Saccharomyces cerevisiae S288C: one gene and its partners. The gene in region 4 interacts genetically with the main gene of each other region. Each region holds a gene or a part of one and is shown on either strand. Other genes may lie near its edges. The genes, in order: YEL025C, SNA3, ICS2 and ZNF1.

Region 1 (8,122 bases), on a different chromosome or scaffold from region 4:
CTACTTTCAAATCTTAATTTAAATCATCATTCGAGCGAGCTTTCTATACCAGGACCATACTGATTATTGCAAGGAACTTGAATAAACCAGATTTCATACTATAAAAACTATATTAAAAATGTCTGCCCCAAACCCAAAGGCTTTCCCATTAGCCGATGCTGCATTAACCCAACAAATCTTGGATGTCGTTCAACAGGCTGCTAACTTGAGACAATTGAAGAAAGGTGCCAACGAAGCTACCAAAACTTTGAACCGTGGTATCTCCGAATTCATCATTATGGCTGCTGACTGTGAACCTATTGAAATCCTATTGCATTTACCATTACTATGTGAAGACAAGAATGTTCCATATGTCTTTGTTCCATCTAGAGTTGCTTTAGGTAGAGCTTGTGGTGTTTCTAGACCAGTTATTGCTGCTTCTATTACCACCAACGATGCTTCTGCTATCAAGACCCAAATCTACGCTGTCAAGGACAAGATTGAAACTTTATTAATTTAAGTAGATTGGATTATATCTATCAACATAGTTTTTGTACCATCTATATACTATAAAAAAGTTTTTTGCTTTCCACTAGTGCAGACGCTAATAGTGCTGTTTTGTTAGTGGTATGATATATGTCATATCTTCATTGAATAACCTACTCGAGTGCATCTGTAAATGCACAAACATGTATTATCAATTGAGCTGTAGTAATTTAGGCATAACAAAAAGGTGCAAGATCTCATGGCACCTATTCGTTCGTAGGAGATTTATTGTCACCTTTTTAGTTTTACAGGATCGAAAAAATCTATGGTCTTGTATGGTGAATGATCTATATGTCTTCTCTTTGAATTTCTAGCTAGCTCATCAAAGCCGCTTTCATTTATTCCAGTCTCTTTACTCACGGAATATTGTTTAGTAACATTTCGCATGCTTTTCTCAGACCTTCGAAAAGCTCTTTTACATTCGAGCTTGATCTTTTTGTAATCATGCAACGTTCTCATCCACAGCTCACCAATGAATTCCGATATTATATAAATTTGGCCCTCAGTACCGCAAAGTAAAAATAGAGGTATGACGCCTTCCAACCTTTGACTATTGAAATTTGGACATATTTGAAGGTTTTGAAATCCATCTGGGATGGCCGCCAGTGAGATTATCTTATTAGGTAACCGAATTTTGAGGTATGGCATAGCCAACCCGCCCTTATCAACTGATAATTTAGAATCTTCGTATATTGTCAAGGTATTATCAATACCAATGGTGGCAACATAAGATCTATTGGAATATTTCAACGTTGCACAAGAAAGGTCTGATAATCGACCTAATAGATAGTTCTTATCACTCGCTAAACAATCGTTTTTAGGTTCTCTTAGCTTCTTAGGAATTATTTTAGTCGCCACTTGTGTAATGCTTCCCAACCGCTTAAAACCCAAGTAGGGACATTCAGGGTACTCTGATGGATATACTATGGACGTCCTAATTGGAAAGCGGGTTCTCAAAAAATCTCTCAAGATCTCAAATTGAACCAGATAATCACCACTCATATAAGCTGGAAGACCTATATGGTTAATCGATGAAAGTGCTGGGAAGGAATAGGCCTCTAAAATTTCCGCGCCCTCTTTTAGCATGTTTATTTTATATGCTGCTATGCCACTATCACCAGAAAATAAAACCAAGTTGCACTCATAGTATATGAACACCGAGAATATACAATCTTCGAGATAATTCGCGTACAATTGGGTAATGTTATTGTTTCTAATTTCAAACAGCCAGAATTTTGTACGTTTTTCACCAACTCCTAAGCATACAACAAACTTATTACCATAAAAGGGTCTCTGTGATAAGTAGATTGAGTTTTGTTCTGGCCACAGTGGCTTCACAACGGCATGTAAATACTTTTCATCCGAGAAACTGAATGTGGAAACTGCCTTCATTGAAGCATAATTGAATAGCATCAACTTATACTGCCTACTATTGCTATCGACCAAACACACCACGGCCTGATTGAGGTTATTTGGAACAGTATAGAGCTCTACGGGAATGCTAGGGAGGTAAAAGATATGATTTTCTAATTGAGGTTTTAATGAAGTCATCTGCTTAGTGAAACCTTCACGGTAAAACGTGCTACCAAACTCAAAGATGCTTATTCGAGAATCATAATCTAAAACACAAAGAGAGAACAGTGCTTTACCGGGTCGAATTCTCATTCGTCTTGGAACTAAGCCTAACTGTATGCAACCATAAGACATGTTTTGAAGATTTAACAAAATTATTTCCTTATCGTTGTAAAGGAAAACCAAAGGTAAGGAAGGAATCGTATCCAACAGTTCTAATTTCTGATCGTATAACGAATGAATCTCTAAATCCACTCTCAAAAAATTTGATTCTGATTTGTAGACTCTTACGCAGCCAGTGTATGATGATGCGATGACATAAATCGAGTCGTGTTTATGCTTTTTGCTTAGCCAAGATATTTTTATCAATTGATCATAGGCTATGAAAGAATAGTCTGGATGTGATGTAGCCACTTTCTTTTGATTGGCATTCCATACCGAAAACACACCGTCCAAGTAAATGACAAAAAGGTATTTCTCGGCACCATCTGAGAAACAGCTCACAATACTCTCTTTAGAATTGAGCCCATGGATAAAAAATTCTTCTTTTTTACGTAGAAAACCAGATTTTGCCTCAAGTATCGAAATCCTGAGCTTGGAGTTCTGTACGGGATAACAAAACATGGTGGAAGAGTTGTGGTTCGACTGCAAGAAATCGACCTGCCTAAATTCTCCGGTAGAACCATCCATACCGGCTTTCAAAACTTTTCCCGTCCTAGAAACAAATAGACCGTAATCATAAGGCTCATCCATTAAAAATATTCCGTTCTTATAAATCAACCCACCTGATTCATATGCAAATTCGTCACCACCATTAAGTGCTAAATCTGTAACCCAAAAATCAGTTACATTCTCTACTAGCGCTTTGGAGGAAGTCACTAACTTGAACAGGGTTTTGTCATATACCAAAATTTTCTTTTCTAAAAATCCTCTTCTTGAGTTAAAACTTCCACCCAAAAGCAGTGAATCAATATCTGTCCCCTTGTTTCCAATAACTTGTGATGCCAGGTAAACTTTGTTTGTATAAGCGGGACCGCTTTTCACCTTTTCTAATTTTGAACCTCGATGATCTTTCGATATAAAATTTACTCCATTTATTCTTGTCACCGCTATATACTTTTCACGTGGGAGCTGCAAAATAACATCGCATAGATCATGTTTAGGAGGCTTGAACACTCTTTCTTTTGTCCATTGTAGTTCTTTCAGGACGTGGTCTCTATGTAACGACCTAGTGTGTATCTTGGCAGTGTATTTGTTAGCATACACGTCAGAAATTGTCAAGAGAATGACTGATCTTTCATATATCACATCATAAGAATCTTTTAGAAATTGGTAGTTTTCTACATTTGGGAGACCTTTATTATTGAAAAAAGCCCCGTTTGTAAGCCCACTTGCTTTTATATTTATTATTTGAGTGTAGTTAGTAGTCAACACTACAATGGTATGGCCGCAAACTACCTTCATATAACAAAATTCATTATCACATATCGGCAAAAGATTGTATTGGCGGTACTCGTTTAAATCAAATTTCCTACTTCCATGCTTTCCAGCAAGATTGTATTCCTTTAAAAACAGGTTTTCACTATAGCAACTCTTAAGTAGGCAAAGAAAATAAACGTGTGATTTACCTGTGCATGTGGCGTCGTCAAGCAAATCCTCCCTGCTAATAAAATCAAAGGAGATAATTTCTTCGCCATCGGTGGCATAAAATCTTTCGACTATTCCTTCTCTGAAGTCAAAGGAGTAAATTGTCGTACATAACGTATGCAAATCACTATCATATGATATGTTTTTATTGCAAGTGTATAAAACACCCTCAAAGGAAGCATTTAACCAGCTGGAAGTTAATAAAGAAATAGTATCCAGTTTCGGAGCCACATTAGAGTCGTAGATAATTTCAAATTTGTTATTTTCGCATTTGAATCCCTTAATGGAACCGTCGTTAAACATTAGCAGGTGACAGAAGGAAGCTGACATGAACATCGGTACAGTTGCGTAGTTAACAACGAACGGTCCATCTAAAGCGAACTCAACCTTCGCTTTCAATTCGTTGGACGTTCCGGTATACAATCCATAGCTAAAACATAAAAAGTAACTTCCTTCGTGATGAAGACAACTTACCAGCTTCTCAGCCTCATCTTTTGATCTATAAGATGTTATGCATAAAGGTAAAAAGGCCGAATTGCTATCCAATTTTTTGCAGTCCGTTTCATCTTGTCTTGCCATTTTACGTGGCAATGGCTAGTGCAATATGCAATGCGCTAACGCTGACATTATAACACAATATATTTTTCTACCCTCCCTTTCGCTGAGTTGCGACCAGAATGTCTGTTTTTCAGTCATGTATTTCTTTCCGCTTTAGGCGTTCAGGCAAGCGCGTTCAGTTGAAAGCAAATAGAACCTATAACGACGAATACGCTTAAAGGAAGTATACAGGAAATAGAAAAAGAAGCGTACTGCATGTACTAAAAACCAAAAAAAACACCACATCGGCTCTCTGGTTGTATCCATACTTTCCCTAAAATTTTGTAACTCAAGAAAATACCTACATAAAACGATAATCAGTGGATTGCACTGATCAAGTCGAAAAACTCCGTACATGCCCGTCTATCCCTGTCTCATCCATATAAACTGAACTAGGTAGAAAAAAATACCTACCCTTTCTTTAACCGCCTGGTATATTAAATACCATTGTCAATTGAGAAGCTAACAGCCATTGTAAGAGTTATGTCCAGTGTCCGACTAAGACAAGGTAACCATACGTTGATAGCTATGAATACCCCAGAGGAAGATTATTCTTTCTCATAAATCCTTTTTATTGGTTTCAAAAATCCACCAATAAGTTCATATAGCTTGGGCGGCTATTCATGCGTAATATAATGTGCATGAAGTACGACCCATCGACTCTTAGAGCAAATGCTTCCTAAATTGAAATAACTAGCCGCCTTTAATTCGAGCCTTCTTGTCATCTTGTGTATTTCATCCTTTCAACTTCTCCTGTTCCACCTTTCACTCTAAGCTTCCCTATCATTTGGCCTCTTTCAGGTTCGTCCATAGCGCATCTTTTTCCTTTTAGACACTCCATAACGGACCAATCAGCGTTTTGCGCCATTTATCGGTCTTGGGTCACGTGCGGCGACGCGGAGGCTCCCTTATAAGGACTGGAAAAAGACCTGCAAGAACTATAGTTGGTTCTTGAATATCAAGTAATATATTACTTCTCTGTCGTAACTTTTTGTTGCTTTCAAGTTCAACGTCTTTTAAAAACCAAGAAATTATTGAACATAAATAATATCACTCTAACACTTATTAGGAAACCGAAAGGAGCAATAACAAACATGTTAGGAATAAGATCATCTGTCAAGACCTGCTTCAAGCCAATGTCTTTAACTTCCAAAAGACTGATTTCTCAATCTTTGCTGGCTAGCAAATCCACGTACAGGACCCCAAATTTTGATGACGTTTTAAAGGAAAATAACGATGCTGATAAAGGCCGTTCTTATGCTTACTTTATGGTCGGTGCTATGGGTCTTTTGTCATCTGCAGGTGCCAAATCAACCGTAGAAACCTTTATTTCATCTATGACCGCTACTGCCGATGTTTTGGCTATGGCTAAAGTTGAAGTTAATTTAGCGGCTATCCCATTGGGTAAAAACGTGGTTGTCAAATGGCAAGGTAAGCCTGTGTTCATTAGACACAGAACTCCTCATGAAATTCAGGAAGCCAACAGTGTGGATATGTCCGCTTTGAAGGACCCACAGACCGATGCTGACAGAGTCAAAGACCCTCAATGGTTAATTATGCTGGGTATTTGTACTCACTTAGGTTGTGTTCCAATTGGTGAAGCCGGTGATTTTGGTGGTTGGTTCTGTCCTTGCCATGGTTCACATTATGATATTTCCGGTAGAATCAGAAAGGGACCTGCCCCCTTAAACTTAGAAATTCCTGCTTATGAATTCGATGGTGATAAGGTCATTGTTGGTTAGGTTTGTTTTTCGTCCTCGAAAACTACATCTTTATTGTCTATTTGTTTCACCCTTATTTTGATTTTTCATTTACTATCCATTATGTTATGAACGGGAACTATACAACTAACCTAAGAATTTTGAAATCACAACAAAAATAATCAACATCACAGTCTCGAAGGGATTACGCTCAAAAAGGAACGAAAATCACTATACTGTATTCCCTGTTGATTTTCCTAAGAATATATTCTTATACAATATGGAGAAAACAAAAGGATAAGAAAAGAAAGGGGAAATAAAGAAGATTTGGACCTATTTATTACTACTTTTTTGTCTCACCATCTTCTTTTTCTATTCATAATATTTGATATTCCTTTATTTATCTGCATGTATTTATAATTAACGAAACTATTTATCTTCCCTCGTCCTGCCTTATCCTTCTTTTCTCCAAATGTTTTACCTAAGATTGGCCTGTATTTGAATATTGATGTCCAGAAGCAGAAGATTTCACATGTTGTATAAAGTATACAAGATTGTAAAAATGATTGAAGTATTTTTATATATGTATATTACCTATAAAATTTTTTATATTACGTACCGAAGGGGTTTTTTTAATGCTAAAGCGATTCATCTTGCTGTAGGTATATTTTTAAATCATCTGGAATATCTGTCCAGGAATTACTATCCCAGTCCATGAATTTCTTTTTTAATTGGGAGTATTTACTGTCAAATAATCTTGAATTGTATGTCGTTGCAAAATAACTTGCTTTTTGACCCATGTGGAGTTCCTGCCCTTCCTCATTATCAAAAAAGCCCCCATTGATTTCACTCCCGTTGCTATTATCTTGCTTATCATATTTATTTGAAACTTTATTACTTTTTAAATCAATACCTTCCAAATCTTGGAACAATTGCCTTACATATTCCGGCATATTGTCCGGTCTATACCTACGATCAAACTTAATTCTCCAATAGACTGACCAATGTAAACTGACATATTCGGGTACATAACGAGATCTTCCGAGGTTAGGTGTATGAAAATTTTGCCACTTTCCTTCTTTATTTTCCATTCGTATTCCAATGGGGAGCAGTTCCAATACCCACCACACCAATCTCATAAATTTATTTGCATGTCCACATTTAAGAGTAAAAGCATCCTTCACTTTTTCTTTTTCATCTTTCAAGCTCAATCTAGTCTCTTTTATATTTTTTAGACAATCTTCCATTCTCTCATTTCTGCCAGATTTATCCTCTCGGGCTCCATCCTCATTATCACTCACTCCTAGTAGGGAACATTTCTTTGGTGAGTTGAAACTAAGGTAATCATGTGTGTCTGCGAATAAAGATCCAATCGAAGTGTGTTTGGTAGCGAAATCATGTATTGCACCAGGTTTGAATTTAACACCAAATTTGATTGCCTCTGCTAAAATCCATCGCAGCGTTAAATTTGACAAGTTCTCTTCTGTCTCACAGTCAGGCGCCCAACCTCCACCAACGTCAGAATGATCACCTGGAAACCATTTTTCAATCAAGTCGGGTGTCATAGTCATTCTACTTGATGTACCGCTGCCTTGGATAGATTGAAGTTGGAAAATGGCTTCAATTCCTCTTGTTGAACATTCTGTATCTCTCGCGTATGAATTACCTTCTAAGAATGAGTTCAGGTCCAACAGCAACTCTGTAGTTTCCTCGCTTTTGCTCGATAACAACCTTCCAGGGTTATCAGGAATGAGTGGAGAAGGATTACTAATAGAATGTGCGCCACTTTTTAAAGTGTATTTTATCAAAGGATTTTCCGGGGTTAGATCACGCATTAATGCATTAGAAGTTGGCACCGGCGAACACTGGTCAGTTATATGATTACAATATGTCAATGAAAATAGTTTCGGAATGTACGGCATCGGAGTGAAACATAACTGCTTGAATTTTCCACGTCTTTCATCCAAGGATACGCAATGTCGAACATGCTCAACGATATTGCTTCTCTGGGTGCAAGGAAACAACCTGTCCCTTAATATTCCAACTGAGTTCACAGAATCGAATAAGCCTTGAAAATGTAT
Region 2 (4,613 bases), on a different chromosome or scaffold from region 4:
ATCTTCGCAAACATTGTGAATGGAAATCCGGTTATGGCCACCTAACATCAACTCACTGTAATACTCGTCCATTGCCACTTTTGAGTCCCCGACGGGCTTCATATATTTGATGACAATGCAGTGGTCAACTTTTTTACCCAGTTTATCATTGTACAAGATATCATTAGACGCGATGATGTCATCTATGACAGAACTTTTGGAAATCTCCTTAGACCTAAATTGTTTTGGAGCAGATAAGTTATAACCGTCATTATTGCCTAAATGGTTATAGGATGCAATGGAGACCGGTTTAATACCTGCATCCACTAAGAACTGGGCCAGAACAGACTTCAACTTGGTTTGTCCCGACTTGAGATCGTCTCCCGCAATGAATGTACCCTCATGCTCAGCCAGCTGAACCAAGCCGGGAACAAAAGTATTCTGCGGTGAACCATTAATATAGGGGACACCTTCCAAGATAGATGCTGCTGCAAAGATCGTGGAAGGAGCAATCTCTTCATGGTCATTCTTAATAGACTGCAAGAGGTTTTCCATGGTGTCATTAACACCAGGAGATACTTCTACGTACCTCTCAGTATTTGCAGTCCAAAGAACGATTACTTTATCAAGGGCGTTTTCTTCTTTGAAATTCTGGATATCGCGTCTGATGCGTTGCAGATGGGTCCACTTACCCCTCGTGGTTACGTTGCCTTTTTCATCCAAATTGATGCAGTTATTGGCTCTCTCATCTTGATTAGCTGCAATGAAATCAGGGTAGTAAATGGAAGGAAGAGGCTTCACCAAGGACATCTTCGCCTTCAAGCGTTGTTGCAGATCATATTCGAGAACTTGACTTCTCTGCATAGCTTCGTATAGATCTGCGTTATTGATGTCCCAACCAGAGACGACAAAGTCGTTTGGGCTAACCATGGGCAACAGAGAGTTAAAAGGAGCATAAACGTCATTCCCCTCCGCATCGATACCCAGTTTCAAGGTAGAACATTGAGTCATGGAGCCGAAGTAGTTTGGTTGCTTAACGCCTTCCTTAGTTTGAAACTCCACATTGTGCTTATTCGCCAATACCGAGGCCACTAAAGTGGAGCCATTGTTGCCACCTAACCCAATGAGCATAATTCCTAGTTTTTCCGGCTTTTTCAAGTCAAGTTTGAACACGTAGTCTTGAACAGTGGGCGTTACATCGAAGCGGCCACTAGCTGTCTTCGTAACTACAGCATTTTCGTAGCTGTACTTGGTGAGCAGCTCGTTGTCCTTGTACGTGCACTTGTCGGTAACTACTTTAACGGAGGTGATTGGAGCAATATTATCTTCTGTCATTGTTACTTCTTTTTCACTGGAAAAAAAAGGGAATGAAACAGAATAAATCAAGGATAAAACTAACATTAGGAACCCGACAACAGAACAAGCCAAAAAAAGGTGACGAAAGCTCCAATTTATATACGTCTCAAATTAACATTGCCGCCAACGCAGAGGTGCGCTTTCTCTGCTCCATGTGAATTAAATAAGTTCAATATTCTGGGAAAGAAGGATGAAGATAAAATAGACAATACTTTTCACATGCCGCATTTAGCCGCCGAAGCGCATACTTGGCCTCCGCATATTTCACATTCAACACTTTCGATTCCGCATCCAACCCCGGAACACCGGCACGTATTTCATAAAAAGGACGTGAAGAACAAAAGGAACGAAGAAAAAGGCAATAATTTACTCTATGTGTTATTTAGAACTACGGTGATAAAGAGCTCGTTCCGATCACTAAGTACGGCCGGAAGAGAGCTGTTGTTTGTTGTCCATCAAGGGCACATCGGCACCGGCCTCATCGTCTTCATCATATGCTGGAGGCTGTGCTTGAGATTCCTCTGCAGGGTGAGCTTCCAGGTCACGGTCTACGGCGGGCGCAGTCGCATGTCTGCGTGAAAGATCGTACGAACGTTCACTACTCGTTTCATATACAACGTAGCAAGCGTGAATGATTGCTGGGAAGAATAACAGTAGGAAGAGAAGTAAGTTCAATAGTGTATCCCTGTTGAACATACCCTTACGCTTCCAGACGGCCACTGGGGGAATGAAAACCGCCAAAACCATTAACAACAAGTCGTCCTTGTTGATGGAATAGCTCATTCGATGGTCATGGTCATTAATATGGTCTCTGTCCATTTCTAAATTATATTTGGTTGTTTGCTTTCTGCTGGGTTTTTATTTTTTAACCTAGCCCCTTTCCTGCAGCTGGCTCATTCGTGCTGTACTCTCTTTCCTTTATATACTAGTGAGACCTTTTCCCCCGTTCCCAAAAAGAAAAAAAAAAAAAAAAAAAGAAAACGAGCCTTCATCACGTGCATTAAAGAAATAGTAATCCCAACGCACTCATCCGCTATATACATAGCGAAAAACTATATGCCCACTTCACAAATACGAGTTTGCATGTATAATATATAAGATTTATAAATGTTGTAGGGTGAATGTAAACGTTCAGTAATATACCGGTATATCTATCAAGATACGATCAATGCAACGCTTTACTGCACTGCACTACACCCCTTTTCCTCTACTTGTTTTTCTTAGTTCCTATTTCCCTCTCAAAATGCACCTGTTCACCAGAGTATTCTTTCTCATTGCAAGTATTACCCTACTTTATCGTCCCACACAAAGAGGAATATATATAGATTATAAGCGAATTGTAGATTTCGATGGAGATCTGATTTCCGTGCAAAATATCCAGGACGTCTATACACAGTGTTTACAACTCAGCTTATATTCATATCATGCCATTTCAAGATTATTTTCAGAAGAAAAAAGCAGCGTTCATTAACAGAAACAATAAAAGTAACGCAGATGCTTCAGCGCTACGAGATATTAACGATATTAACATAAATTTCGCCGCCAAGAGCAAAAACTACGTGTTCCCGCTAACAAAGCTCCCCGATGAGCTCATGCAAGAAGTATTCTCTCATTTGCCGCAACCAGACCGCTTGCAGCTTTGCCTTGTGAACAAAAGGTTGAATAAGATCGCTACCAAACTGCTTTATAGAAGAATATATTTGAACGACTCAAATGTAGTGAAGAGTGACTTCATGCATCTCGCAATTAATTGGACCCTACTGAACTTGCCGTCTTCGTTGAAAGAAGAGGAGTCCCGCGATATCGCCAACTGCAAATTGAAAAAACTTATAGAAACACTGCAAAATAATATTCACATTACTGAAGTCATCCAGTGGATAAGGATCAACTGGGATTTGGACTCTACCTTGCAAAGGTCCATTCTCAGCATCCTTTGCAATCAGGGCAAGTCCTTGCAAAGACTAGAAAACGTCACTGACCCGGCTTGTAACGATATCATCTCCAATGGTCACTTTTCCAGGAGCAACGTCTCAAGTTTCGACATGGCTCCTCCAAATTCATTGCCTGAGATGGTTGTTCCCGAAAATTACATTCCGAATCTCACCAAATATCTTTCACAGCGTATCTCTTCTCGGCTTTCTCATATGACTTTATTCATCGACCCTTTAAAACTGTTCAATTATCTTTACCCTTTAGATATCAAGTTACAAATCATCGATTTAAAATTGCATTGGAGGAGGGAGTTTTACAATAATGATTATTTTGTTAAAAAGATACGACCCGGCAATCCTCTGACTAAACTATCGGAGGTTTTTGACAAGAGGACATTGAAAATTCTTACCATCATTTCTTGGAATGACACTTTGTTAAAACGCGAGACAGAAATGCTGAAAGATTTTAAAGAATTTGAGAACCTGGAAGATTTGTCTTTGATTTCTATTAAGCAGGATGTTCATATCCTCGTAGATCTTTTTAGTTCGTTAACCAATTTGAAAAGACTAAAAATGGATTTCTTAGAGGAGTATGTACCTGAACCCACAAATCCTCACATATTTCTCTCCATTCTTTTAGCTTGCTCCAAATTGCAATTCATAGATCTGAGATACGACGGTCTTATCCCACAAATCATCAATATTCAAGAAAATAAGTTCCAACTAAATCAGCAATGCAACTGCACAAACTGTCAAATAGTATTCAGTGACATTCTGAAGGGCAAAATATTCATGTTCCCTGAAGACTACTATATTCACGATCTTCAAGACATTGCTGCAAAGGATATTTTTAAAATGATGAAATACCTATCTTTGTTACCATACTCTAAAGCTTGTGATGCTTATCCGAGCGTTAGAACACAACCAATGAATTTGACTAATTTTGTGACCAAGATGAACCGCAACCTTTTGGAATATAGAAATTCTAAATCCCAGTTGGTGCCCAAAATCGTTAATAACCCACATCAACACTCCACCGTGACTTCCACATCAACCGCTCATATGAGCGAGCCCGAAATGATAATAATCGATGACGATGATGATGATGATGAAATTAATGCGGCCATTCCTCCAAGTAGTGATGACACAGCAGCTACAATTTCCACTGACCTGGAACTTCCTCATGAATCATTGACCAAAAGAGATATTATTATGTGTTATCACGCTCTTATCCATCACTTCAAGTCGATTTACGTTACTTTTTTGAAAAGTTTTCCTCATTTGAGATTCTTGATGTTGAATGACATTCCCACAATAGTTATGGAGGAGAATAATGAACGTATTTTT
Region 3 (5,119 bases), on a different chromosome or scaffold from region 4:
GAGTTTATTGACTTAAACTTTTGAGAAACTTTTTTCATGGGGGAGCCTGTTAAATCGATTGATGAAGAGGAGTATTTGTGACCAACGTTTCCACGGGAAATTTTGTTTTCAAATGATTTTGTTGGAATAGATGATAGCCTATCGAAAACACTGGATGCTTTTGTAGATCCCGCGGTATCACTGTTTTCCACAGCTCTTATAGCAGGACTATTTATCGTAGATTTTTTTTTAAATGCGATTGGTGATTCCTTTACTGTTCGTACTTTTGGTATTGATCCTGAAGATTTTGTTGGTGGAATGTGTTGAATAATAAGAGGATCTTTATTCGGCAGTGGAACAAACATATTCGACCTTCTTTGAGATCTCGCTATCCCAGAATTCGGTGGTGGTTTCACCTTTACTGATTCAGCTTTCTTTAAAGCTTGAAGTATAGGTTCATTCTCCATTTCTTCCTTAGCCGCCCATGTTTGATTATCGAAGCGTTTTGTATTAATCGGAGACTCCGAAGTCTTGGAGGATTCTCTTAGAACCTTTTCAACTTTGTAAGGTGACCATGGTGAGGATTTTTCGCTTTCATTGGCGTCGACTTTAACGCTATTCAATGGCTCAACCGGGCTTTTATTGGTATCATGTATACTAAATCTATTCATTCCTTCGGTGACTTCCTTCCTGCGGAGTGATTTAGGCGTGATACTTTTATCGTTATGTAATCCATTTCTGGGTGTCTTAGTAACGTCTTTTGCGGCATCATTCTGGGAGTTAGAAAGTTCATATTCTCCTTTCATTTTAGGAAATTCGACATCCATTTTGTTATGCGTATTTTCGGGGCTAATTAAAGACTCTTCCATCTTTTTGTCTTCATACTTGAGTGTATTCATATAAACATTATTTCTTAACCATTCACTACTTTCGTACAATCGTTGATTTATTTCTGAATGTGCATCTGTTGTTAGATTATTTAGATCATCGAGGGTTTCTATGATTGAACGGGTAGAGCCTGGCTTCCTTTGAGTTTTCTTCCTAGCTGCTTTGATTGCCCAGTCCATTGTTTAAATCTTCGGGCTCTTTCAAAGTCCGTCAGTTGAGGAGATACTTTGAAACGTTTTGTTTGTATCATTGGCAATACTTGAAACGAGTTTTTGTTTGTTTTCTTTTTTTAGTTAATTCGCGAAATTTAAAATATGAAGATCGGTTTCAGAACAGAATGGATCAGGCTTTTCCGCGTATAAGAAATAATAACACTGACATAACGCTATAACGAAACAGCGTAACAAAATACTCTTTACATGGTTTATTTTTATATATTCATTTAACATTATCAAAACTAACATTAAGTCCTTTATTTATCAAAACAAACGAAAAAAAAAAATGCGAGACAAATGATCCAGTCATTTATTGTCAATATCTAAGTCAATTAGTGGTTGCAATATGTCTCCAGTTTCCACTTTATGAGCAAAAATTTTGCCCTCAATATTTATCTGATTTTTTTCAGCGAATTCTTTCAAACTCCCGAATCTACCGCTTGCGTTTCTTCTTAATTGTTCATTGGTATTCATGATTGTGTTTTTCGGGGACATTTGGTGGGTATATGAAGTATCCGGTGAAGAATGATATTCTTTGTCCAAGAAAGAACTTGCCAATGAAGTTTTTCTTGAATTGACGCCTATGCTTGAATTAGAATCGTACCCGTCAATGAAATTTGGCTTACAAGACCTGCTGAATGAGATTGCATGACTTTTTCTGTGGTAACTTTTCCTTCGCCCTGAAGGCTTTGTAAGTTCGTGTGATAATGAACGTGAATGCGAATGTGATGATAATTCATTACTTTCTACCCTTAAAGGTGATACCGCATTAGGCTTTCTTGGACATATGGAGGAATTTCTCCTCGTTTTCACACCATCCTTGTCTCCAGGGAAAGAGTAGGTCTTCAGCTTGTTGAACAGAGCTTCGCCTTGAGACTCTTCAAAATAAAAGCTCTTTTCGTACTCATGGGGTTGTTTGCTGCTATCGAACTGAGATTCTGTTGAAGAGAGAGAGCTGAAACGTCCATAGAGTGGGCTGCCAAGTGATTTAATGGATGTACTAGATTGACTGCCCGTAGTAGGAAAACTAAATGTGCTTATTCTTTCTCTTTCTTTTTGCTCAAATTTGCCCATATCTTGCTGGAAAGGGAAACTTCAGTGAAGTAATAACGAAGGTGGTGTAGAGTATAAATTTTTATTAAGTATGCGCTTTGACGTTCACATATTTGTAAAAGATTTATTTGAGAAGATAGAATGGGTCTCATTTATTTATACTTAAATGCTTCTTTGGATGTCAAGCTTTCTTGATGCCGGACTTGCAGTCGAAGGGCTCTTTCCCAACAGATATGTAACCAAATGCGTCGAATAGAAAAAGAAAGTCTTCCAAGGAAAGTTTATTACGAGGGGTTTTGTGCATTAACGTGGCATATAATTAGGTATAAACTCAAGGTTGGCTTAAGATTAGCGAAACAAAAGTATAAACGACCCAAAATTGGAGTGGATGTGTTCTTTAACACATAAACTGTCGTACAAAAAAAAAAGAAACAAAGAGCAGTTGAAAGAACATCAAGATCATAAGGACCCCCATATCGTGATAATCATTGATGACCAAATCGTGAACTCCCTGCGCCTATGCCGTGCCATAGCAAATAAAGTACTGGGCTGGATTGTTAATGACTTGCATATTAACGACAGGTAAACGGTACCCTATTTTTCTTTTTTACGTGCTACGGACGAAAAGTGAGGGTGATTAACGCTTCAAATAAGAAACGACGGCTAGCAGGGTCTAGATGCGTGAGATGAGATAAGGAAAAGAGCTCTGTGTCCCAGGTAATAATCCCTGGAGAGATATAATCTTCCCTACAACTTGATTGCATATTAACGCTCCCAAGTTGTGGCCATTGAAGAGCTCTACAGCAATGTCCCGACGAACGGAAATAACCCTCTTTTTCATGATATTTTCGGAGTTATCTCCACTGTCAACAACTATTCTCGAATATAACAGAATGAAAGGGATCACGTACGCTTGTTATATTGCTGTCGTTCTCCGTTCGCAATCCCATTATATGCGAGGGGCAAAAGAAGAGACGGCCGGTAACTCATTTTTTGGTGTGTGAGAATTGCGGAAGCTTCGTTCTCCCACCTTTTTTCGCTGTGTTTTTCTTGTCCTCAGCACCGGCTGGTCAAGCCGGTGCTGAACGGCCGGAGAGAAATATAAACGGATGAAAACGTGTTAATAATTGCATCAGTAGTAGGTGGCGGGGTTGTCTCATTTTTGTTATGGCGTAAGGTGAAAAATTGTAAAGGATTGGTTCGGTTGGGTTGGCGACAATTAATTATGGGATAAAAAATTGCTTAATCTTTATTGGAGCAATTACCTGCATAGGCACTCATAGGCCACAAGGGTTTGATGGCGGAAGGATGTTATACCTACGATACTACCATACATGTGATATGTCACTTTCTAGTCCGAAGCGTGGAACATATTATCTTGTTTGACGTTGTGGGTGTTAACCGTAATTGTCTGGGTACGCCGAAGGCACGGAGACCATGTTAAAATATGTTTCTCTTTTTTGCTCATTTTTTTCTATTTTTTGCTGCGCATTGCCCGAAGCTTTTCTTAGTGGTAGTCTGCTCTCGCGCTCTTTGTTACACTCGCAAAATTTTTTTGCTGGGCAAAATAAAGCACTCTCCGGCCATTACTGGCTGTCGTCCGCCAGGATTTTCATTAACTTGCAGAAGTAAACAAACAAAACACAATTATGACACCGTGGAAGTTTCCTAAATGGTAACAAAAAGCTTAATTGAAAGAAAGAATTTCCTTCAACTTCGGTTTCCTGGTTCCGCTATTTCTCGCTTGTTTCTTCTATTGGACTTAGGATGTCTCATCAATCATCTTATTCCTGCTGGTGTTTTTTGTATCGCCTTGCCTTGGAGTGTTTATGCTTGTCCTTTGTTCAGTAACCATTCTTCAAGTTTGTTTCAAGTAGTAGGATACCTTCAGATATACGAAAGAAAGGGAGTATAGTTGTGGATATATATATATATAGCAACCCTTCTTTATAAGGGTCCTATAGACTATACTCTTCACACTTTAAAGTACGGAATTAAGGCCCAAGGGAACTAACAAAAACGTTCAAAAAGTTTTAAAACTATATGTGTTAACTGTACAAAAATAACTTATTTATCATATCATTTTTTTCTCTGTTTATTTCTTCTAGAACTTATACCTGTCTTTTCCTTTTATTCTTTGAATTTGGTTTAATATCCCTTTTTGGTTTAATATCCATCCATTCCTTTCACTTAGAACTAATAATTCCCTTCGTTTGATAATTTATCATTTTCCTTTTCTGTTAGTAAAGTACCCATTAAATGAAACTAGAACGCGTAAGCAGCAATGGCTCCTTCAAAAGAGGTAGAGATATCCAGTCACTTGAATCTCCGTGTACTAGACCGCTGAAAAAAATGTCACCTAGTCCATCTTTCACATCTCTTAAAATGGAGAAGCCTTTCAAAGATATTGTAAGGAAGTATGGAGGTCATCTTCATCAAAGTAGTTACAATCCCGGCTCAAGCAAAGTGGAGTTAGTAAGACCAGATTTGTCTTTAAAAACAGATCAAAGTTTTCTTCAAAGTAGTGTGCAAACTACGCCTAATAAGAAAAGCTGCAATGAGTATCTTTCAACTCCAGAGGCCACACCATTAAAAAATACGGCTACAGAAAATGCATGGGCAACCTCTCGAGTTGTTTCTGCATCCAGTCTTTCTATAGTGACACCAACGGAAATTAAAAACATTCTTGTTGATGAATTCTCTGAATTGAAGTTAGGGCAACCTTTGACTGCTCAACATCAGCGAAGTCATGCGGTCTTTGAAATTCCTGAGATTGTGGAAAATATCATAAAAATGATAGTTTCTCTAGAATCTGCAAATATACCAAAGGAAAGACCATGCTTAAGAAGAAATCCACAATCTTATGAGCACTCTCTGCTTATGTACAAAGACGAAGAGAGAGCAAAAAAAGCATGGTCAGCAGCCCAGCAGCTACGAGACCCACCATTAGTCGGACACAAGGAGAAGAAGCAAGGGGCCTTATT
Region 4 (5,663 bases):
GACAGAAATAAAGCAAAATCGTTTAACTTTTATGACCGTAACAGGTAACAATATCTGCTCAATTCGGTTAGTAAAAAAAAAAAGGTTATCGTAGGTTTACTATTTTCACATCGGTGCATAGAATCTATACTCTACTTCCTTTGGAGGGAATTTAGTAGTGCTCGATTAGCAGATAACAGCGCAGGGTTCTATGTAGTACGAAGCACTATCAGGTTTTTTAACGTACGTGAGTTGTTTTTTGTTTCTAATTTTTGGCTTGCCTGGGATAAACGGTGCCCATCAAATTATTAAGACCTGGTGAAAAGAGCGTACCTACATGGGTATCGGGGTTTTTGCCAGAAAGAGCTTTAACTGCAATTGATGCCTACCGGAGATTATTTTGATATCAAAATGCAGGAACGATATCTACTTCCCTAAAGCAGAAAACAAAACATTTTTTTAAAAGTCTTTCTTATATAAAGGTAACCTTCATTTCATGATAGCCAGATGATAATCTTAATGTAACAATTGGAGGATACCAGCATCCCTCCACACCTTCAAATGTCTATACCCCATTCCGTATTTTCGGCACTCTTGGTCTTCGTGGCGCTAGCTACTACAACCTTAGCCAGTACAGAAGCTTGCTTACCAACAAACAAAAGGGAAGATGGTATGAATATTAATTTTTATGAGTACACAATAGGCGACCAAACCACATACTTGGAGCCTGAATATATGGGCTATGAATACTCCAATACAAAGAAGTTAGGTTCCGTTAGCGGACAGACCAATCTCTCCATATACTATAGTCCGCCTTGTGAGAGCACTCCTACCTGTGTGACTTATGCAGTTTTGAAGCGTGATGAGGATGGATATGATCCTTGCGGACCTCTTTATGAAACTAAAAAACGTGACACTGAATACTGTGACCCAAATACTGCCTATTGGAGTTCTGATCTTTTTGGTTTCTATACTACTCCAACTAATGTAACTGTGGAAATGACAGGGTACTTAATATGGAGTATGGGCAACCGACGCCGTTGAACCTCTCCTTGGAGATTCTGATAATTTTATGACCATGACTTCTCGTGCACCTTACAGGAAACTTTAATGGCCTGATAAGTACAGCTATATTGTGATCACAATTATTAAAAACTAACTCATTTCATCTATAACCAAGTACAAATCGCACGACTATCATGACGATAAAAGCGTATATCCTTGATTTAATTCACATCACAATCACCCCCCTTGAAAAAAAAATAAATTTTTTTTCTTGCTATAATAGCATAATTGTCCACAAGTTCACTATTAGTGCTATCATTCTTCCCCACTGCCGCAAAATTGCAAAGGAAATAATTGTTTGCCCTGCAGGAACCATATACTAAAGAAGAAATAGATGCTATTAGCCTCTTCAACTGTCCGTAATCACTACATCTTGAAAGGTAAAATGCAAGTAGCAATGTGTTTACTTAAGGAAGCGCATCTACATCTTCTTTAGAACCATCTGTCGATTCAAGCGGATTAGAAAGAGGAAGCGTGATAAGCGCACACTGACACTTTGTCGTAAACTTATCAACTAATGTGCTATCACAATGCTTAAGAGAGAAGACAAATTTGGATATATCGAACAAAAAATTCCAAGCCTCCGACTCTGCATTTTGATCGTACTGATTCACAACATCTACCAATGCGTCGGCTATTTCTAGTGCTTTCACTGATATCCCTGGACCGTGAACTGCATAAAGATTTTTTGGGATTAAAAATGTGTCTTCTAACATGTCTCTAGCAATTTCTACTGGAATATGCGTATTCTTGCTATTTGAAAGGAAACTGATTCGCATACCGCTTATTTGAAGCACTAGCTTCCAAGCAAGTGTTCTAATCCAATGCCGTGAAAAAGATATGTCTACATAGCCGTAAGACCATGGTTCTATCTCAAGTGGCACCGTATGAAGTTCCCTCCATATCTTTTTAAGGGAGTCTTCAGTACAGGTTACATTAGCAGAGTCGGTAGCTAGAGCATCAAAGAAGCATTTTCCCGGTACAGTAAATACCCTAATCATCTCCAAGAAGCTGTCGAGAGATAGTCGGGGGTCCGTTACGTTCTCCGGTTGTGGTGGAGCAATCGTGGTATCCAGGCTCGTGGCGCAATGCGTATACACAGAAAAGTATCTTTCCGTTAAGAGAAGCAAATAATAAACTTTCCTTCCAAGCTGCTGCTCATCGAAAGGAAGAAGTTTCAAAGTTTCCTCGCGATGGAACCCCGCCAACTTAATGAGCCCCACGGCTTCACAAGAAAGCCGATACGAAGTTCTTGAGTTGGACATCTGTGCGTAGCAGCGGTTTAGACAATAGTACGTCATAATCTTGAATATATCACTACCGTTAAAATCGTCAAATTCTTGGCGTGATGACATGCAGAAACTGGATAACTGTATCCCAGTAAAGGTAACCCCTCCTTCCGACTCAATTTCAGTCTGCAAATCGCTAAGCGTGGCGGCAGAAAGAGATACCAGGAACCAATACACACAGGTTTCGTCATATCTTTTCTCTAAAAGTTCGTAAAGATCATCATAACACAGCAAAGGCCAGATCACATACAACTTATCATTATAGAGCCGCAGACACTGATCAATTAGTGCCTTTGGAACCTTCATTATGCCACCACTACTACTTTTACTAAATACCTGTACATCATCTACTTTCTTTAAATTTCTCACCTTGACGGGTTTTGGACCTCTTTTCTTCAAAGGTCGAAGATATGTACATTGCAGATTGTGTTGAAGACAACATTTACATGGTTTTTTACGATCACACTTTACTCGACGAATGCAACAACAGTCGCACGCTTGTCTATTGCGGGCCATCTTCGAACTAGAGCTCTTTTACTTTAGCTCTTTTGACAAGACAATGAAGCATTTCTTGAAGGTTTTCTTCTTTTCTCCGTATTTAAGTCAACAAGATATAGCTAATTTATTAAGCCGGGGGTGGGGAAAAACGCGGTAGTAACGTGGGGTACTTTAAAGTGGGGGAGATGGCACAGACAAAGCCGCAGGTACCTCGAGAACTCAGGGGAAAAAGGAACGCAGTTCAATAAGCTACCGATTTGGCAGATCTCAGGAGTAAAAATATAAATCTTAGTGCACATACAAGTGATAACTGCAACTCCAGATTTTTCTTTCGGTCGATTCGTTGATGCAACAATGTCGAAATTATAGTTAGGCGTTTGTTCCTGTAATTTAACTTCAAGTGGAGGAGTCAATGTTCTTTCCTATGTTCTATTTGTGGGATAGAAAAGTTAAAAAGAAGGTTTTTGAGTATCCCAGTGATAGTGCAGTACTACTTCTGTGTATTCCCGATTATTACAACGGCGGAGTTTTTTTCGCATAAACTCAGACTACTAAGTAACTCTCGAGCATCGTGAAGATCCTGATACTTTATCTATGCATTACGTACGGAACGGAGTGAGGCCTTTCTCCAGAAAAATCGTTGAGATGGCATGTAGGTTCTAGATTTGTGACGACACTCAACAAGAAAAGTTTGAGGTGAATATCTTACCCGCGACATCTGGAGCGAGAAGAAAGCCGTAATCGATAACGTATTCTCTCAATGCTGTGGCGTTTCAGTAGTATTTTGTTATTACCGACGAAAACGGTTCCTCAAGAAATAAAATATATCTAGAGGTAAGTTGCAAAACGCTAGACTATTTATGGCAAGATTAGTATTTGCTGTCGTGATATCATAAGTAGAGACACATGTTCAGCTTCTCACTTGAATTTAGGTTAGAACAAAATCTTTAAACAGCAGTTACAATGAATGTTTGGGAGACCTAGTCAGTCTCCATACTGCCAAGAAAAAGGTTAGTCGAACTGGAAAAACAAGGCTGTACTGCACCCTAATGTTTCTTAGTAAGCAATTCGCTATCGACGCCGAATACCATGAACATCAACCTTGTGAAAGCTTTCGCATATTGGCGCTCAAGAGATATAGACGGTACTAGTGAAAGAGAGACAAGGCCGCCGGATTACTTGCTCTCGTCATTGTAATTGTTCAATTTCACAGACATTTCTCTGGCATGTATCCATTGGGGCACCACAATAAGGGAATATTTTACAATATCGTAAGCTGTTCGTAATACGCGGCTTCTCTTTACTCAAAGCCCAATGAATCCTGGCTTCGAAAATCATACAAACTGTGAAATCTACTTATTTGAAATGACAAACACTGCTTCCCAGTCTGGAGGCTCTCTTTGAGGATAACTAACATGTATGGCTAAAAATAGTTAAAATAATTGAGACGACATTGCACTTGCTATAATCAGACTTCAATAACATATGCATACAAGAAACTTCTCTTTTGAAATAGGAGCGGGGCTCCATCACAAAGAGATTGAAATTTGATACTAGCTCTAAAATCGAGGCAGGGATGTTCCAATGATCGAGTTTGTCATGAAATATAAGGATGTTCACGTCAAGCTCGAGAAATGTTTCAAAATACCGCGAAATAACTCAAAAAGCTGGGTCACGAAGAAATGATTCTAGAAACAGGCGCTTATGCTCTTATATAATGAGATGTCTACATCGTCAGAACTAAGTGCGAAGAATACGGCCTACATTAGAGATTCTTCAAGGTAGTGAAACGTATTCGTGGCAGTGGTTATGGAACTGCCTTACGGTTGATTCAAAAGACTCATTGCATACTCAATTTAAAACGGCTCAAATCATTTGAAAAAATAATAGGCAATATAAAATAGAGAAATCACAGCACCTTGACGGACTGATATTACGAATAACGAGTATCATTGCCAAAGTTTGGCGTATGGGCGACGTGCGTCCATGCAAATCTACAGTAGATATTTTCAAAAGAGATCATTGTCAAAAAGATAACTAACTACTCATGCTTTGAGGGCATGCAAAGTTTCCAGAAAAAAAAAGATGAACCACACTTAAGCTGAAGCAAATTATAAGTGTTGAAATGACTAGGCGCAGTTAATACGCAACTCAATCAGTCAACACAGGCTGGTTACTTTCTAAGTTACAGCATAAGTTTAGAGTAATTATTGAAATCTGTTGATATAGGTTGATTTCTTAGATGCATGAAATGCAGCAAGATCTTCATATGATTTCAGAGATTAGTCAAAAAGTTGTTAACAGTCATGCATAATATCACTAATTGGTAGAACAAGAATCAACTACTTTATTTGTCAATATTTTCAGAGAAAAATTGATGTATAGGGTTGACCATAAAATAATGAATGACACCATTTTTTTTTTGAAAGAGAAAACAAGATACAAACATTTAAAATATGCTGTTGAGTTCAATGCCTTCCATGAATTAATAAGATTAGGAAAAAAAATTACAATACATTCTATACTTCTAATACTACGATCTTTATTGAAATCGAATCCGAAATAAGAGAATCATAAAACTTAGATTGCTATCCTAGAACTTGTTCATAGTATCAGAGAATGTGCAGATCTTCTAAAAAGGAATTGAGACTATTCATAGGTAAGAAAACAGCGGGGAAAAGAAAGTTAACACCTGTTTGTTGACTTGCGAGAAAAAAGAGATTGGAATGGATTTAAACACTCCGATTTAATTTAAAGAAAACAATGGCTATTCAAAAAATCTTCCTGGACAAATTATACTTCCAGACAACACAGGGGAACGGAGAAGGAATC

Evidence for each region.
Region 1: mutations in ZNF1 (region 4) and YEL025C together harm fitness more than expected from each alone (negative genetic interaction), as found in Saccharomyces cerevisiae (one large-scale study listed by BioGRID).
Region 2: mutations in ZNF1 (region 4) and SNA3 together harm fitness more than expected from each alone (negative genetic interaction), as found in Saccharomyces cerevisiae (2 studies listed by BioGRID).
Region 3: mutations in ZNF1 (region 4) and ICS2 together harm fitness more than expected from each alone (negative genetic interaction), as found in Saccharomyces cerevisiae (one large-scale study listed by BioGRID).

The regions. Positions count from the first base shown.
Region 1 is NC_001137.3:101,825-109,946, forward strand, and holds YEL025C (uncharacterized protein), read right to left. Parts: upstream 4,324-8,122; coding exon 757-4,323; downstream 1-756. Other genes in the region: RNA binding protein SNU13, read left to right, coding at 119-499; ubiquinol--cytochrome-c reductase catalytic subunit RIP1, read left to right, coding at 5,436-6,083; YEL023C (uncharacterized protein), read right to left, coding at 6,680-8,122.
Region 2 is NC_001142.9:134,620-139,232, forward strand, and holds SNA3 (Sna3p), read right to left. Parts: upstream 2,155-4,613; coding exon 1,753-2,154; downstream 1-1,752. Other genes in the region: inositol-3-phosphate synthase INO1, read right to left, coding at 1-1,314; SCF ubiquitin ligase complex subunit DAS1, read left to right, coding at 2,760-4,613.
Region 3 is NC_001134.8:552,155-557,273, forward strand, and holds ICS2 (Ics2p), read right to left. Parts: upstream 2,157-5,119; coding exon 1,389-2,156; downstream 1-1,388. Other genes in the region: SLI15 (Sli15p), read right to left, coding at 1-1,046; AMN1 (Amn1p), read left to right, coding at 4,395-5,119.
Region 4 is NC_001138.5:25,418-31,080, reverse strand, and holds ZNF1 (DNA-binding domain containing protein), read right to left. Parts: upstream 2,850-5,663; coding exon 1,452-2,849; downstream 1-1,451. Other genes in the region: YFL051C (uncharacterized protein), read left to right, coding at 541-1,023. UniProt on the Saccharomyces cerevisiae protein: Transcription factor that regulates respiratory growth and plays a critical role in stress adaptation during non-fermentative growth.